4 linked regions of the Schizosaccharomyces pombe genome follow. The protein of the gene in region 2 purifies or fractionates together with the protein of the main gene of each other region. This does not show direct contact. Each region holds a gene or a part of one and is shown on either strand. Other genes may lie near its edges. The genes, in order: rpn7, imp1, efg1 and pun1.

The links.
Region 1: the proteins of imp1 (region 2) and rpn7 purify together in Schizosaccharomyces pombe (affinity purification with mass spectrometry, with the first as the bait; one study listed by BioGRID). This does not show direct contact.
Region 3: the proteins of imp1 (region 2) and efg1 purify together in Schizosaccharomyces pombe (affinity purification with mass spectrometry, with the first as the bait; one study listed by BioGRID). This does not show direct contact.
Region 4: the proteins of imp1 (region 2) and pun1 purify together in Schizosaccharomyces pombe (affinity purification with mass spectrometry, with the first as the bait; one study listed by BioGRID). This does not show direct contact.

Annotation. Positions count from the first base shown.
Region 1 is NC_003423.3:429,893-433,358, forward strand, and holds rpn7 (19S proteasome regulatory subunit Rpn7), read right to left. Parts: upstream 1,874-3,466; 5' UTR 1,853-1,873; coding exon 659-1,852; 3' UTR 501-658; downstream 1-500. Other genes in the region: mcp6 (horsetail movement protein Hrs1/Mcp6), read right to left, coding at 1-274; alt1 (putative alanine aminotransferase), read left to right, coding at 2,703-3,120, 3,312-3,466. UniProt on the Schizosaccharomyces pombe protein: Component of the 19S cap proteasome complex which acts as a regulatory subunit of the 26S proteasome, involved in the ATP-dependent degradation of ubiquitinated proteins.
Region 2 is NC_003423.3:3,914,703-3,919,014, reverse strand, and holds imp1 (importin alpha family nuclear import signal receptor adaptor Imp1), read right to left. Parts: upstream 2,461-4,312; 5' UTR 2,390-2,460; coding exon 770-2,389; 3' UTR 501-769; downstream 1-500. Other genes in the region: F0-ATPase subunit atp4, read left to right, coding at 1-246; exoribonuclease Rex4, read right to left, coding at 3,463-4,212, 4,287-4,312. UniProt on the Schizosaccharomyces pombe protein: Functions as a component of the nuclear pore complex (NPC).
Region 3 is NC_003424.3:344,677-348,418, forward strand, and holds efg1 (rRNA-processing protein), read right to left. Parts: upstream 2,003-3,742; 5' UTR 1,943-2,002; coding exon 1,868-1,942; intron 1,764-1,867; coding exon 1,631-1,763; exon of another isoform or gene 1,569-1,630; coding exon 1,438-1,568; exon of another isoform or gene 1,376-1,437; coding exon 1,163-1,375; 3' UTR 558-1,162; downstream 1-557. Other genes in the region: RNA-binding protein Cip2, read right to left, coding at 1-453; GATOR2-SEACAT complex ubiquitin-protein ligase E3 subunit Sea4, read left to right, coding at 2,519-3,742.
Region 4 is NC_003424.3:3,694,474-3,698,020, forward strand, and holds pun1 (SUR7 family protein), read right to left. Parts: upstream 1,963-3,547; 5' UTR 1,556-1,962; coding exon 689-1,555; 3' UTR 501-688; downstream 1-500. Other genes in the region: ain1 (alpha-actinin), read left to right, coding at 1-418; mde6 (muskelin), read left to right, coding at 3,035-3,279, 3,322-3,547. UniProt on the Schizosaccharomyces pombe protein: Contributes to the wild-type cellular response to nitrogen stress through signaling pathways that regulate the expression of genes involved in amino acid biosynthesis. Required for wild-type filamentous growth, cell growth, and cell-cell adhesion.

The sequences.
Region 1 (3,466 bases), 3.5 Mb from region 2:
CCCGTTCCTGCTCTCCTATCTTACTTTCCAAACTTTCGATTTGTAGCGTACGTTGAGTAGAATCGCGCTCAAAAGCATCAATTATTTCTTTAGCAGTCATTTGTAGCTTCTGAAATTGAATTGTTTTATCTGAGACATTCTTTTCATAATCATCAAAATACTGAAAACTCTTCTGCTTAATAGACTTCATCTCGCTAACACTTTGAACAGGCGATGAAGCTATGAAAGTCGAATCTTCAGCCGAGGCGAGAGAAGCCTCTTCTTGATATTCCATATTAAATCAATCTGTTAATCTCTTAACCTTGTATTGTTTCAAATCTTTTCGCTACGAATTAGTGTCACTAACATACGAAATGTTGTTGGTAAATGGAACGCGTCGCAGGCTCATCAAACAACATTGTATTTACGAGTGAAGAAACATTTGAGATATACGTAAACACCACCAAAAATTGCACAACTATCTATTTAGTCCCTAATAATAGTTGAATAAAGATTCGTATGCTTTAATCATTTCTACATTTCGTTTACAAATAATGTTCATGGCACCAAAACTTAATACCGTTTCATATTATTACTTTTCAAATGTTTAAACCAGACAATATAGATAAACGATACATGCATTGAACCATATTTCATTAAACGTAGGCACTGAGTTAAATTATACCTTAAAGGCACCACGCATAACAGTGGCTTGGTATTTTTGGAGTTTGTTAAGTAAAACATCACCCTGCTTAACAACCTCTTGGTATTGACGGTTTTTTTCATCAGGACGGTTTGTAAATACAACACCGTTGACTCGATCAATTACACAGTTCAACTTGTTGTCTGGGATAAATGACGCCAAATCGCGATCGATATAATCAACAGATACGCCAAAGGAAGCGGCCATGGAATCGATACTGAGAGCACGGTAAGATTCAAGTAACTGGGCGTAAGCACGTCTTCTCATTTCACGCACATAGTATCTATAATGGGCGACAAGAAATTGATCACATTTAAGATGATTAACTTCAACATCGGCCAAGGTTCGAAAAAATCCGGAATAGTCACATAAGTACAAGCTGTTGATACATGCTTCCAAACTAGACATTGATTCATTTTGAGGTAGCACGGCAAGCACTTCAGGTGAATCAACGATTTTGGTCTTGACATCAACACGATCTAAAGAAATTGCACCAGAAATCACGGCATATCGAACGACGTCGTAATATGGAAGTAGTTCGGTGGAAGAGAAAGTTGACATACAATCCAAGAGAAGGTCGGCGGCACCAGAAAAATTACGGATTGACATCAAATATATGCCTTGGTAGGCCTTTAATCGATTTTTCCTCTCCCAATCACCTCCCTTTTCAATAAGTGGCTTTAATTTTTCCAATAATTGACCAACGACCCTCATATCAGCATACACGTATGCCAAACGGATTTTGGAAAAAAGAACATCAATCTTCATTCCGGTCAATGTTGCTCGTTCAAAAGTTTCATCGCATAACTGTACACCACGTTCTCTATCGCATATATTCGTATAATAATCAGCTTTGTTTTTCATGGCTTCTAAAATTTCATGTTCTCCATTAAGTTCTTGGGCATCTTCGATCGCTTTGTCAAACTCTGCTAACTTTTCTTCATTTTTCTTTATCATACTATTTAAAAAATTACTATCAAAATCAATACTTGCCGATGTTTTAGGGTTCTCTGAAAGATATTTATAAAGTGGAGCTAAATCATGATCACGAATGGCAGAAAAAAGCGTATCCAAAGCCTTTTGGCTCTTATTCTCAAGGAATGGCGAGGAAAGCTCGAAAATCGCTTGCGAAATGGTCAAATCTGATACGGTTCTTGCCTTTTCTGTCATGGTGCGGTGTGTGAGTGTTGCAGAGGGAGAACACATATCAACAGCTAACTAAACTACATATTGTACATTTCACTCATCTAAAAGTTAGTAAAATGTTAATTTTTTGTAGTTTATTTAAATTTCAAATATAAATTTAATTCAAACAACTAAAGAGAAAAAGTTCTTTTTCTACTTTTCAACTTCCACTGTTCCTTATGTTCTAGTAACATGTTTTAATTAAATTTTATTAGAAACGAATCTTAAAACTCGTAAATTTTATTCTTTTCAATTCTTTTTTGTGAAATATGCCATTCTGAAAAGTCAAGTGCTTGAACATTCCATCAGTCTTCTCGAAACTTGTAAATCGTTAAATTAATTTAATTAACCAAATTCTATAAGACAAAAAAGTTAAGCAAATAAGCAAGCATCTCTTCTATACCTCTGTTTTTACATCGTTCTAATTTTTTGGTTTACACGACATGTAGCATAGGTTGGGGCTTACTAAAGGAATTCAAATAATTTTTCGCATTGAATATTGCTTACTTAATATATATAAAACAAACAAAAATGGTTTATTAGAATATCATATTTAAGCCTGTATAATCCGGTTAATGGAAAATAAAAATATAAAAATAACGGAAACGTTGTCATTCACTGAGTATTTTTTAGGAGCTATTTTTTCTCTGTTCATTATGCTAAGTTAGTGAAAAAATTAGTATATGTAATATAAGTGAATACAGTGAGCGGTTGATAAGTATCTCCAAATAAAATACAGTAGAAAGAGTGAAGTACATAATATCAAATAACGATTATCTACTTTATATTTATGTTTACAGATTATCCAAATGATATTAACTGTGAGTCTCCAAGAATGTCGGACCTTGATGGATTTTGTCAAAATGCGTTCTCAGACCTTAATTCTTTGAATCAACAAGTATTTAAGGCAAATTACGCCGTCCGTGGAGCTTTAGCCATTCTTGCGGACGAGATCCAAGATGATTTACTTGAAAATCCTTCTTCATATCCTTTCAGTGAGATCGTCTATGCAAACATCGGTAATCCTCAGCAGATGGGACAGTCTCCTATTACATTCGTTCGACAGGTTTTATCTCTTTGCCAGTACCCTACCTTGTTAGACCATGCTGAGGAAAAGTGGTTTCAAAATTTGTTCCCTACGGATGTCGTACAACGATCCAAAATGCTCTTAAAGGAATCTGGAAGTTTGGGTGCCTATAGTGCTTCTCAAGGTATTCCGCTTGTAAGGCGACATGTTGCGGATTTCATTAGAGGTAAGCATTTTAAGAAGAAAGAGTGAAGATCGTCGGACACAGAGACAATTCGCAGACTGTATTAAGAAATTTAGCAAAAATACTGCAACCCATTAAAGCTGCTAGGGTCTTGCTCGATAAAAAATGATTTTAGACTCCGCCATTCATTCTTTTTTCTTTTTATCTTTACACATTTTCTAATTATATTTTAGCGAGAGATGGATTTGATTGCGAGCCATCTGACATATATTTGACTAGTGGTGCCTCACACGCTGCCCGGCTTATAATGACTTTGATAATCGCTAGGCCAACAGATGGTGTAATGGTTCCCGCTCCTCAATATCCTTTGTACGGTGCCCAAATTGAT
Region 2 (4,312 bases):
AAAGAAACTGCCCGTATGGAGGCTGAGATCTTTGAGCTCGAACAGCGAGTTGCTTTAGCTAAAGAAGCTAAATCAGTGTTGGATAGCTGGGTTCATCACGAAGCCAACGTTCGCGCTGAACAACAGGAACGTCTCGTTGAAGATGTCTTGGCTCGTGTCAACAGCAAAGTTTCTACCCAAAAGTTCCAACAGGATGCTCTCAATGAAAGTCTCGGTGAAATCGAAAAGGTCTTAGCTAGTGCCTAAATTGTTTTTTCGAGGGACATAATACGATAAGACAGCTGCAGTTTTTTTCAGTCATATTTGATTTGCATATATGCTTATTAGCAAAAATTTGCGTCATTATTGGTTTTCAAATTGCATTCACCGATTAGTCGAAGTCATTTGAACCTAACAGTGTATATCGTCCCCGCTGCTTTCTTTTATTTTTATTTTCTTTGATCCTAAACCCCCTTCTCTATTTTGCCTAGTTGCAGCTCTTACGAATATAAACATTTTTAGTGATATCATGCTATTTACCTGTACCGCTCTGTTTTAGTAGTACACTCATTTTTTTCGTAAACATATTATTTAACCGTAGTTTTTAATCCTAATAGAAATACTTAGCTTCACAAATAGCTAAATTGAATTAAAAATAGAGGGTAAAAAAAAGAAATACAAACCCAACAAAAGCACCAGTAATGGAAAACAGAATTTGTCTAAGTGAAACATGTAAATAATGTGCGCTTCGATTAGAACAAAAAAAATTTTTTTAAAATTAATTTAAACGTTACATAGCCATATCTTGAGAATCAAATTTAAATTCTCCTTGAGCTTGAGGGCCATTGCCAAATGTGAAGGCGCCATTTTCGGTTTCAGGTGCCAAATCTTCAACTGCGTCCTCGTCACTGAAATACTTTTCAATGATGCTATACGCTTTCAAATAAATATCGTTATTTCCGGAGGATTGCAAATCATGGATCATATCCATACCGCCAGCTTCCTCAACGTAGACAGCGTATTGATTAATGTTTTCAAGATCCATAGTTCTGTCCATCTCACCAACTTTAAGTATGTTTTCAATGGCATCGAGAGCAACTTGAATAATTTTATTATCGGATCCGTTCAACATATCGCAAAGTGGCTTAATAACGCCTTGTGACACAAGGTAACGAATTTGGTCAGGCTGACCGAGACCGCCAGAAGTAGCATTAGAAATAGCCCAACAGGCTTCTTTTTTTGTTTTGTAGTCGGCATATGAGAGTAAATGGACCAATGGAGGTATAAGATTACTTTCAATAATTGCTTGGATTTGTTGGGTATTGCCAGCAGTAATATTGCTAATAGTCCAACAAGCTTCCTTACGAATGTTCTCTTTTTGATGACTGAGAAGACTAGGGAATGCATTGAGAGCACCGCAATCGATTATGATCTGTGTTTGCGCGTCAGTACCTGTTACTATATTCCCCACAGAGCGAAGGGCAGGAGTTTGAATATTAACGCTGGGAGAGCTCAAAAGTTCAACAAGCCTGGGCGCACATCCAACGTCTAAAATGGCGCCAATTTTTTCGTTAGGTCCATCAGAAAGATAGGAGATGGCCCAGCACGCGTCAACAATAATCTCAACGTCTTCAGAATAAAGGAGCTTAGCAAGGATTGGAACGGCTACAGAAATAGTTGACCAGTTAGGTGGTGGATTTTTGCCTCTACACAAGTTAGAAAGTGTCCATGTAGCGTTACGGAGCATAGAAACATCAGAAGCGCTACTCTGAAGAATATTAAGTAAAGGCTGTAAAACTCCGTTACCGAGTACATAGTCACGGCAGGCAGAAGAATCGCCAGCTATGTTACCGAGGGCCCATACAACCTGCTCACGGACATCTTTTTCAGGTGAAGAAAGTAATTGAATAAAACGAGGAACAGCGCCGGAATCAACAACAATACGGGTTTGATCTGTGGTACCACTAGCGATATTTGTTAAGGCCCAAGCCGCTTCAAATTGAAGCAAGTGATGTTCACTTTCTAAAAATTGTACGAACCGGTCAACAACACCACAAGCAATTACCTGATCAATAGGGGGATGCGTCTCCTTAGAAAGATATTTCCTGAATTTCGTGACGGCACCTAATTGTAGCTCAATGTCGTCTGACATCACATCAGCTGTCAATTTAGGAAATTCATCTTTCATTTGTTGCTCCATTTGAACCTGAGACTGATCAGCCTCCTCTTCCACATCAATGTCATTTTGTAAAACAGCGTTTAAATTCCTTCGTTTATTCAAACTTTCCTCACGTTTTTGTTTGCGGATTTCAATTTGCTGTTCTTCACGTTGCCGACGAAGTTCATCAGCTTTGAAAACACCTTTGCTTTTAAAACGGCTTCTTCTATCTGATAAATATCTCGATTCCATTTCTATAGGAATAAACTTTTTTGATATCCTTTTTACTCTTTTTTTTTTAGTTATCTAAGACAGTTGTGGTTGCTGCGAGTTTAATGAGAATAAGGAGGTAAAAGAGCACTTGTGTCGTTCCAAGAAGCAGCCGGCACCCAGGTAACAATGTTCAAAAATAATAAATTTAGAATAATTTGAAATATATCATTTTCCGGTTCAAATCGTTGAAACTTTCTAGATCATTTTTGTTCTGTCATTGGAAACCTTCGCACCATAAAACGGGTAAAACAACATGCTTATTGAGCTCATCAACCAATTTTTCTTGGGTTTTTAACAAGCTGAATGCTATAACAAGAATTCAAAATTTAAAAACAAATGGAATTTTTCTTTAAACAACCTGTCAAGTTGGCCTATTTTTATTTTTATTTTGATTATATAATACATATAGTTGAGCAATTTAATCTTTGAATAAATACTTATTTTTCAAACACTTCCGTATCTGTTTTGTAAGCTATTAATATGTATACATTAATGGTCCATTGTCTAACTAGAATTTATTTGGTAGCTATTATTAATATATATATTTTTTATTTTTTTTGTGATAATAAAGATTAATTCGGTATTTATATAAATTTAGGAATTAACTTAACGGCGCTTGAAAACATATTATCGTCATTCAGTTAAAATGCTCTAAATCATATACACTATAGGAAGTAATCTAATTATATAACATTAACTTTATTAATTCACAAAGTAATTATGAAGACCATATAAACGAAGCTGATAAATCTCTATATCCTTGTTTTTTCCATACATTATTTCTTTCCTTCAGTTGTATGCATCATTTATTTATACTAAAAATTATTAATAGATTGACTATTTAAAACCAGAAACGAAGGAAACAGAAGAGATAAATAAAGAAAGAAAACCAACGATTTCATAAGAGCCAATGAAAACAATATTGCTGTTATAAGCAACCGAAAATATATTTAACATCTGACACATATCCAGTAAAATTATAAGAAACATTTTCTTGCATATTATTAAACCCAAATCCCAAATGACCAGAACGAAGTCTAGTGATTCAAAGCTTATGACTTTGACAAACCTTTGAATGCAACTTCATCCATTTCTTTTTTTACTTTCTTATATAATTCCATCGTTGCTTGGGCATCCTGGACGGAAGAATGCTGTCCAGATTGAATGTCACGCCCAAGAATCACTTCAGCAAGTTTTTTAAGCCCTGGTGTCCTTCCCTTGGCTAATTTCCGATACCCAGAAAATCTGCTGGTATCACGAATCATTCTTCTTGGATGCGATAAAAGTAGTACTTTGAGATCGTTATGGACAGCATGTCCAACCAATACTCGATTGTCGAGTATCTTAGCAACTTCTGCTTGTACTTTTTCAAATGAAGGTGCATCCCGCATGTGAAATGACTTGACACCACTGACCCATGTTCTCCAATCCGTAACCTTTTCTTTAGGACGGACATAAGTATCATACACGACATGACCATGATAATTAACTATACTGACGCGTGCAAGAACTGACATGTCATCTGCCACCCCAACCATTTCACAATCCATTGCAATATATTTCCCCAATGTTTCCAAATTGGTTTTTCTGGTAAGCTTGGAAGCATCCACGCCATATGCGTCAAGGACTTGAGATTCAGGGATATCATTTTCCTTAGCAAATTTCTTTAATTCATTCATGCGTTTTTTATCGACGATATAAGAATTCTCATTCTCATTGTTTTTACCTTTCACACTTTTAAGGTATTTCTTTTCATTAGAATGCTTTTTTTCAACCCGTCCACTCTTAGCGCTGTCGAGTTTCTAAACAACCAATACCGTTAGTATACTTAAACAAGAATCTTAAATGACTTAATGGAAACTATAGCCTTTCATACCTTCTTTAACTTTTCCCAATTGGAAG
Region 3 (3,742 bases), on a different chromosome or scaffold from region 2:
TGCTTCTTTCCAAGCAGTTTGAAGACGAGTTCGACGAGGCTTTGCAGATGGATTATTGGCAGTTGAAATTTCAGGATCCAGCATTTGTTTAAGGGAACTTGGTAAAACCGTAGAAGAACCATCACCCAAACCATCATCTGCATTGTTGTGGGAAAATATGCCAGACCCTCCCATTCCAGCACTGTTAACGGCTGCATCAGAAAACGTAAACTTATCACGACCATATCGGTTCTCGAGATATCCTGATCCTCCAGGAATATTAAGACCTCTCATTTCTTCATCTTGAGCTCCATTTAATTCATCTAATTTGGGGAAAAAGTTGGACCGTTTTCTACGCAGAGATGCAGCCTCAGAATGGAAAGTTAAAGGGGAAGAAGCAGGAGAAAGAGTATTAGTTGACAAAAATGCCTGCGACAAAGGCGTTAATGGCCTTTGGCTTGTGCCCTCAGCCATATCGACACTAAACAAGTCGTAACTTCGTGTGGTGCGGAGGTTAGGTATCCGTGGACACCACCAAGGGCGCAAAGTCAATATACTACACCATATTATTGAGGTCTTAAACCCATAAATTCAAATATACCAATCTATAGAAGCAAATGTAAAAATAATTATTATAAAATGTATATACTACATACTGGTGTTGATTTTTAAACCCCCACTAGGTAACTTTTTGCCAGGCAAATAACAGGGTACTGTGATGATAAAACCGAAAGTCCATCTAAGAGCTCTTAAAAACACTGCTGCAATGATAAAGACTATTAAACTGTCTAATAATTCGACCACCTAAAACAGAACAAAATGAAAGTCCTAATTTTTTGTTTTTACTTAAATTCTTGTAAATTTATATTTTTATTAATTTGATATTCCATGAAATATCATTCGAATTTTAGCATATTAGATTATAGAATGAAATATGTGAAAAATATCTTCAGTGAACCTTAGGATCCAAAAGCTTCTCTCCCACAAGTTCTATTTTTGGTACCCTAGCAAATCCCATTGCAATATGACATAGAAAAAATTTAAATAAACTTGCATAAAAAGAATACCTTGCTCGATAACTCATATGGAAACTTCACAACCTTTATTAAAAAGAATGAATCATATTATTACAGTTTCGTCTATTTAATCCCTTTATTTCCAAAACCTCAATCCAAGTTTTCATTTATCTTTGCAAAAATTCATCTTCCAAATCACCACCAGTTGAACTTTTTTCCTGTACAGGAACCCTGTTGGAACCTGAAGATGGTATTTTGTGTTTTCTGCCACTATTAAAGCGTTCTTCCATCTCGGCCCAAATGCGATTTCGAGTTTCTTCGGTCTGTTCAGATGTGCCTTCTGCGTAGAGTGAAACATACTTTGTTAAAGGGGGGTATTCCTAAATAGGTTAGTATCTTAGCCAAGTTGATAGTTGAAATGAAGTCGAAAATACAAACATACTTTAATATACATAAGATCAATTTGACATTTACGCATCGATTTCTCACACTGCTTGCGTTTCTCATCATCCATAGTTTCATCCTTCAAAGATTTTTCCAATTGTTTAATACGTCGTTCTGCTTTTTTACGTTCTGAGAAAATCAGTAAGCAAGTTCACTGAACAAAAAATGCTGTTTTTATATATGTTTCATACCAAAAAATCGAACTTTTTTGTATCTTTCAAAAATCTTTTGCTTTTTATGCTCTAACTGTGCCATAGACAACTGCTCTTGTAGACCCAAAAGAGCTCGTTCATGTTCAACACGAATGTTTGCAGGCAAATTCTCCTTAAAGGAAGTTAGTTTTCTTATTCATTAACATAAAAAGGAAGGTAATATTTATTACACACTGAAACCGCAGATGTTTTTAAACCAGCAAAAAAATTACACACCTTTTTCAATAATCTCTCATTGTCGCGAATTTTTTTCTTCAGCACAGAAAGTCCAGGGCCCTTAAATTTTGGCATGCTAAAACGCTCAATAAAATAGATAAATAGAAATTCAAACCATAAACAATTAGTTCTGGTGAAGAACAGTAGTAAACTTAAAGGACTGCAATTTTTACAGCTGCTAGGTTCTCAAGTGACACGTTACTTTTATATATAAGTTTAAGCTGGTAATTATGATTAAAATATTTGATTCACTCACACTTATTCAAGGTAGATTTATATGTTGTACTTGTGGAGTGATTTAAAAGCTTAGACTTTCAACAGTACATCAAAGAATCGCTTGTTCGACACCGAAGTCACCCTAGAGATTAAAAAGTATGCAAAAGATAGTTAATCTAGCAACCGGTCTGTATTTTAATACTACTATTGTTAAGAGAATCATCAATAGCAAAAAGAAAACCTTTGAATTTGACAGCCTCTTTTCAGTCCGTTGTTAAGGCATTTCTGTTAGCTATCGTTAAGCAAATTAGTGCTAAACGTTATGTTTGACGAGTGGTTGAGATTGAAGAACGCTTCGATCAAGCTCTGTTTAATGTTTATGCAGTATTTTGGGCGTTTCTGGTAAAGCCTAATTGTCAAATTTCTCTTTAGAGAATGTTAAATAGAAGTAAAAAGAGGAATGGCTGTTATTTTTGGGTTAACGGCTCCTCAGATGAGATTCGATATGTCGCCGTCAAAGCTTCCCCTAAAGTAAATTGGAAAACTCACATTATTTGGAGATCATTGAAAAATGTTAAATGTATAGACTCTTTTCACGGAAACAATGAAATATTGGGTGCTGGTTCTTCTACCGGAAATATATCATTGCTTTCTGTTAAGCATCCAGAATTTCAAGCAGTAGTAACACCTGGATATGCTCGCCCTTGCAATAGTTTGGCATTTTCTGAAACTGAACATCTTGTTGCTGGATTTGCAAAATCTCGAAACGAGTCTTCCTTGAAGTTATGGGACTTGAATTCATTACTGTCTGACCCGAAGAGTAGTCCCTTAATGCAGTCTTCTACTCTAGACGGAGTTTCTTCCGTTTGTTATAAGAAAGACACTCCTCTTTTGCTTACCGGATCAACTTCGCGTTCTGTCCATATAATTGATACTAGGCAGCAACTAGACTCAGTTTCTTCCGTCAATACGCAATATTATAGTAATATAGTTGTTGATCCATTTTCTCCTAACTATTTTGCCGCAAATTCTTATGATGGTGACATTGCGATTTTTGATACTCGATACTTCAAATCCGATAATTATTTACAAATTATTTTACGGAACGAAAATAAAAAGCCCAAAAATCCACAATTATTTGCACTGAAATATTCTGAATGGAAACCTGGACAATTGGCTGTTTTGTCAAACAATTCGATTACACTTCGTCAATTATTGCCTTGTGTCAATGGAAATGAAGGATCCGCAAATAATTCTGTCTTTGTAAATTATGAGAAGAAATATCCTGTTAAACCAAATTCACAATGTTCTGGCATTGATTTTTTTACTCCTTCTACAGCCTTTCCAACTCATGTTCAAATTTTGGGTGTCATAAACGAACAACCGAAACTTTTTTCTGTCCATGATGAGGTCATTCCCTTTTCATTTAACCCTTATAATGATTTGATATTTTCCTTCAAAGAAAAACTGTATCCTTTAAACTCTTCACCATTTAACACACTTTCTGATGTCCCACAATTTGATGTCAGCGAATTTGTCGATGAAAACTCTTTCGATTCCTCGTCTTCTTGTTCCTCCAAAGTCTTTCTAACGACAAGAAACAACTCAATCAATTCAGAGGATTCCGCTCATGAAGTATTGCTTTCCTATAACCGCGTC
Region 4 (3,547 bases), on a different chromosome or scaffold from region 2:
ACAAGAACTAGACGGAATTACTAAAGTCTTTCGCCATTTTGAAAAGAAAAAATCAAATATGTTAAATGAGGTCGAGTTTTATGCCGCATTGGCCTCATTGGGCTTGGTTTATGATACCGAAGAAGGAACTGCTTTGTTTCACAGGGCTGCTAACTCGGAAGAGGGTGTTACTTATGAGCGTTTTACAGAAATCGTGATGGAAGAATTAGAGGATCGTGATAGTGCTCGTCAAGTTTTATATGCGTTTTGTGATGTTGCAGACGGAAAATCTTATGTCACGTCCGATGATCTATTGAGGAGTCAGGTTCGTCCTAATATAGTAAAGTTTTTAGAATGCAACATGAACAAACATTCAGAAGGACTGGATTATCTTACATGGATTAAACAATTACTGGCCGAAGACAAAGAAATAGTTTAAAACGGAGCATTTTGAATCACTTGATAAACTTAATGAACATTATTTGGATGAAAATTTAGTATACTTGAATAACAATATATATACGTTACAAGGGTCAAAGAAAAGTATATTTTTAAATACAGTAACTATCTGAAGAAAAACAAATCTCAATGCTAACTAACATAAAAATGAAAGAAAAAGGAAACTTGACATCAATACAAAAAGAAGGGAAAATAAAACAACATGCTAATTTTTAACAAATAATGGGCAATAAATAACGGACGATACAACTTAAAGTGGACTGTATCCGGATGTAAGATTTCCAATAAAATATAGAATACAAGCAGCTAAGCCAGCAGCTGCTGAAAGGAATGAATAAGCATAAATTTTCTTTCCTAAAACGATTGGAATGTTAAGAATTTCGATATTTTTTTCCAATTCAGAAATTGCAATACGATAAGTTGCAACTGCGATAACTGCAGCGATAAAAGTAAAAATAGTTGCAAAGAATGAGAAGACGTTGAGAAAGAGGGGACCAAAAAATGGAAGGCAAGAAATAACGATTGAAACTATTGTCAGAGCAAAGAAAATAAATCCAAGAATATACATGGCTCGCATAGCATAACATGCCCCTTTAAGCACTTTTAATCCTAAATCCACCTCGGAAGGTAAAGTGATGTTAATTTGGCTACCAGTTGCATTATTAATACTGGTTTCCAGCATTGTAAGGGGGTTGAAGTAATAACTAGGAGAAGGAGTACTACAATAAGTAGGATTTGTATAATCAGACGAATTTCCCTGACAATAATTCCAAAGACCAATGGAGTACCAGTCCGGGAGTTCAGACACGTCCTTCATCTCCTGCTCAACTTGTTCGATTAAATCAGTAGCACCTTGATCAATATATGTTTCGAGCGTGTCTACCAGTGTTCCAGTAAGCTCGTTAAGTAGGTTGCTTGTATTATTGACAACAGCAGTTTGATTGGCGACAGAAAAGATAGATGTAGTATTCAGTTGAATAAAGTAAATATTTTGAAAAGCAATGTTATGCTGAGTTTGATTGATGATGCATAGAATTGACAAAAGCGCGCCAACTCCAACGCAAACGGTACCAATACCAGTGAACAAAGCTTTAATAGGATTGAACCCCATTCCCATTTTGACAAACAGTTATATCAAAAACCAATTTGCTTGGGATGACAAAAAGAAAGAATAATATATATGATTATATATAATAGATATCACGATTAATAAGGAAAACTGATATGTAGTCTCCAGAAATAAACAATTCTTCAAGAAGCTGGGAAGAAGAAGGACAAAAAATCGGCTGAAAAATAGAGGGAAACACTTCAAAAACGCTGTTGTAAAACGAATTTCTTTGAAATTAATACGATTTAACGCGAGGATATTGAGTAAACAAGATAGTATGGATAGTAAACAAAAGAGAGAGAACTGGTTTTTTTTTTCAATCGTAAAGGCAAGTAGCTGATTGTTTCTTAACCTTTTATACGCATCAGAGGCGCAATCTCTTAAAGTCTTAATCTTCTGTAAATTTGGAATGCCACAATTGACACGGAGGGCCCGCTACGAGTAAAATATGTTTTGAGAAAGCGAAGTTGTCATGACAACCAAGTGTAAACAGACGGGTCATATCAATGTAAATAAACCAAACGCGGGACGTTTTCGATGTTTGCAACAAGCTCGACTATTATACGTGTGAAAAGGATGCAGTGACAGCAATTTTACAGTTCTTTCGCAGCAAAAGAAACAGTTCTGATATACGAACTCAGCGGCGCATGCTGTGTCGTACATTACTGACATATAGGCGCAGCTTGAGTTTCAAGCCCCATTATATATGAAAAGAAAGCGTTCATTAGATAGCCAAGTAAAAAAATCAACATAAGCGCTTTGCTTTTCTTAGTATTCGTTCCATGATACCGAACACAATAATTTGGGCTTTATATAGTTTTTGTATAAAAAAGAAATCATATGATTATCATATTAACATTTAATCGTTTAATGACTCTCAAAGATCCGTGATTATATAATAGAGAAGAGGAATTTACGTCGTCAATGAATCAGATATAATATTTAAACTAACATCATATAGATTTCCCATATTATCTTCTACCATGCTTTCATGACGAGGATACTTAATTAACCAATAATTTATACTTAATATGGTTGTGTTGCTCTAGTTACAATTGAAATTTTGGAAAGTGGTTTGGTCCATCGCAAGATTGGGTAGTTTGTGAATTCATTTAATTTGCCAAATAAATGAGCGAAATTCTCAGATAATGACAAAATAGTTATTTTTTTTTCTGGAGAAATGCGAAAGAGCTGTTGGAGTTTCTTTTGTAATATCGAATGGCAGAACAGAACTACTTTCTTCATATTCGTCAATAAGTTAAGTTCAATACTGGATCCAATTTCAACTTTTACAAAATGAATTATAATTGTTTACTGAAATTTCCCTTTTAAGTTTAGACCCTTACCAAGACTGTAAAGCACCTTAAGGAAGCGATCATTACTGCCTCTTTTGTTTGTTTACATTAGGTGCTTTCCTGATTTCTCCAATACACATACATTGTTGCTAGACTCATAGCGGTCAGACGAAGATAATTATTGATTCTTTAAATGGAACGTAAAGAATTGTCTTATACCATTCAAAGCTGGTCCAGCTATTCTGGAGCATTTCATCCTATCAATATACTTATCGATAATCCACACCAGGCTAACAGCCGATGGAGCTGTAATACTTCAATATGTAAACCCAACAACTCTGAAGAACAGTATGTAATTCTGAAACTTGATAAACTTGCGTTGGTTACCGATATCACCTTTGGGAAATTCCACACTCCCCATCTTTGCAACCTTAAAGAGTAAGCGGTTTATTTTTTTTTTCTTCCTCTAACAGTTTTAAGTTTTATAGTATATGGGGGGCGTGAACAGCATTTGATGTTCCCTTTATTAAGAGCTGGATTGACAAATGATTCAAATCGAGAAACATTTCCATTGTGTATCAAGAAATATAACAAAATTGAGAATTCAATTGCTTGTAAGTATATCAAAATTGTTCCACTTCAAGCTCATGCTCATGAATTTAACATGAGTATATGGTATGTTGCTTTACACGGCATTGACTCAGCC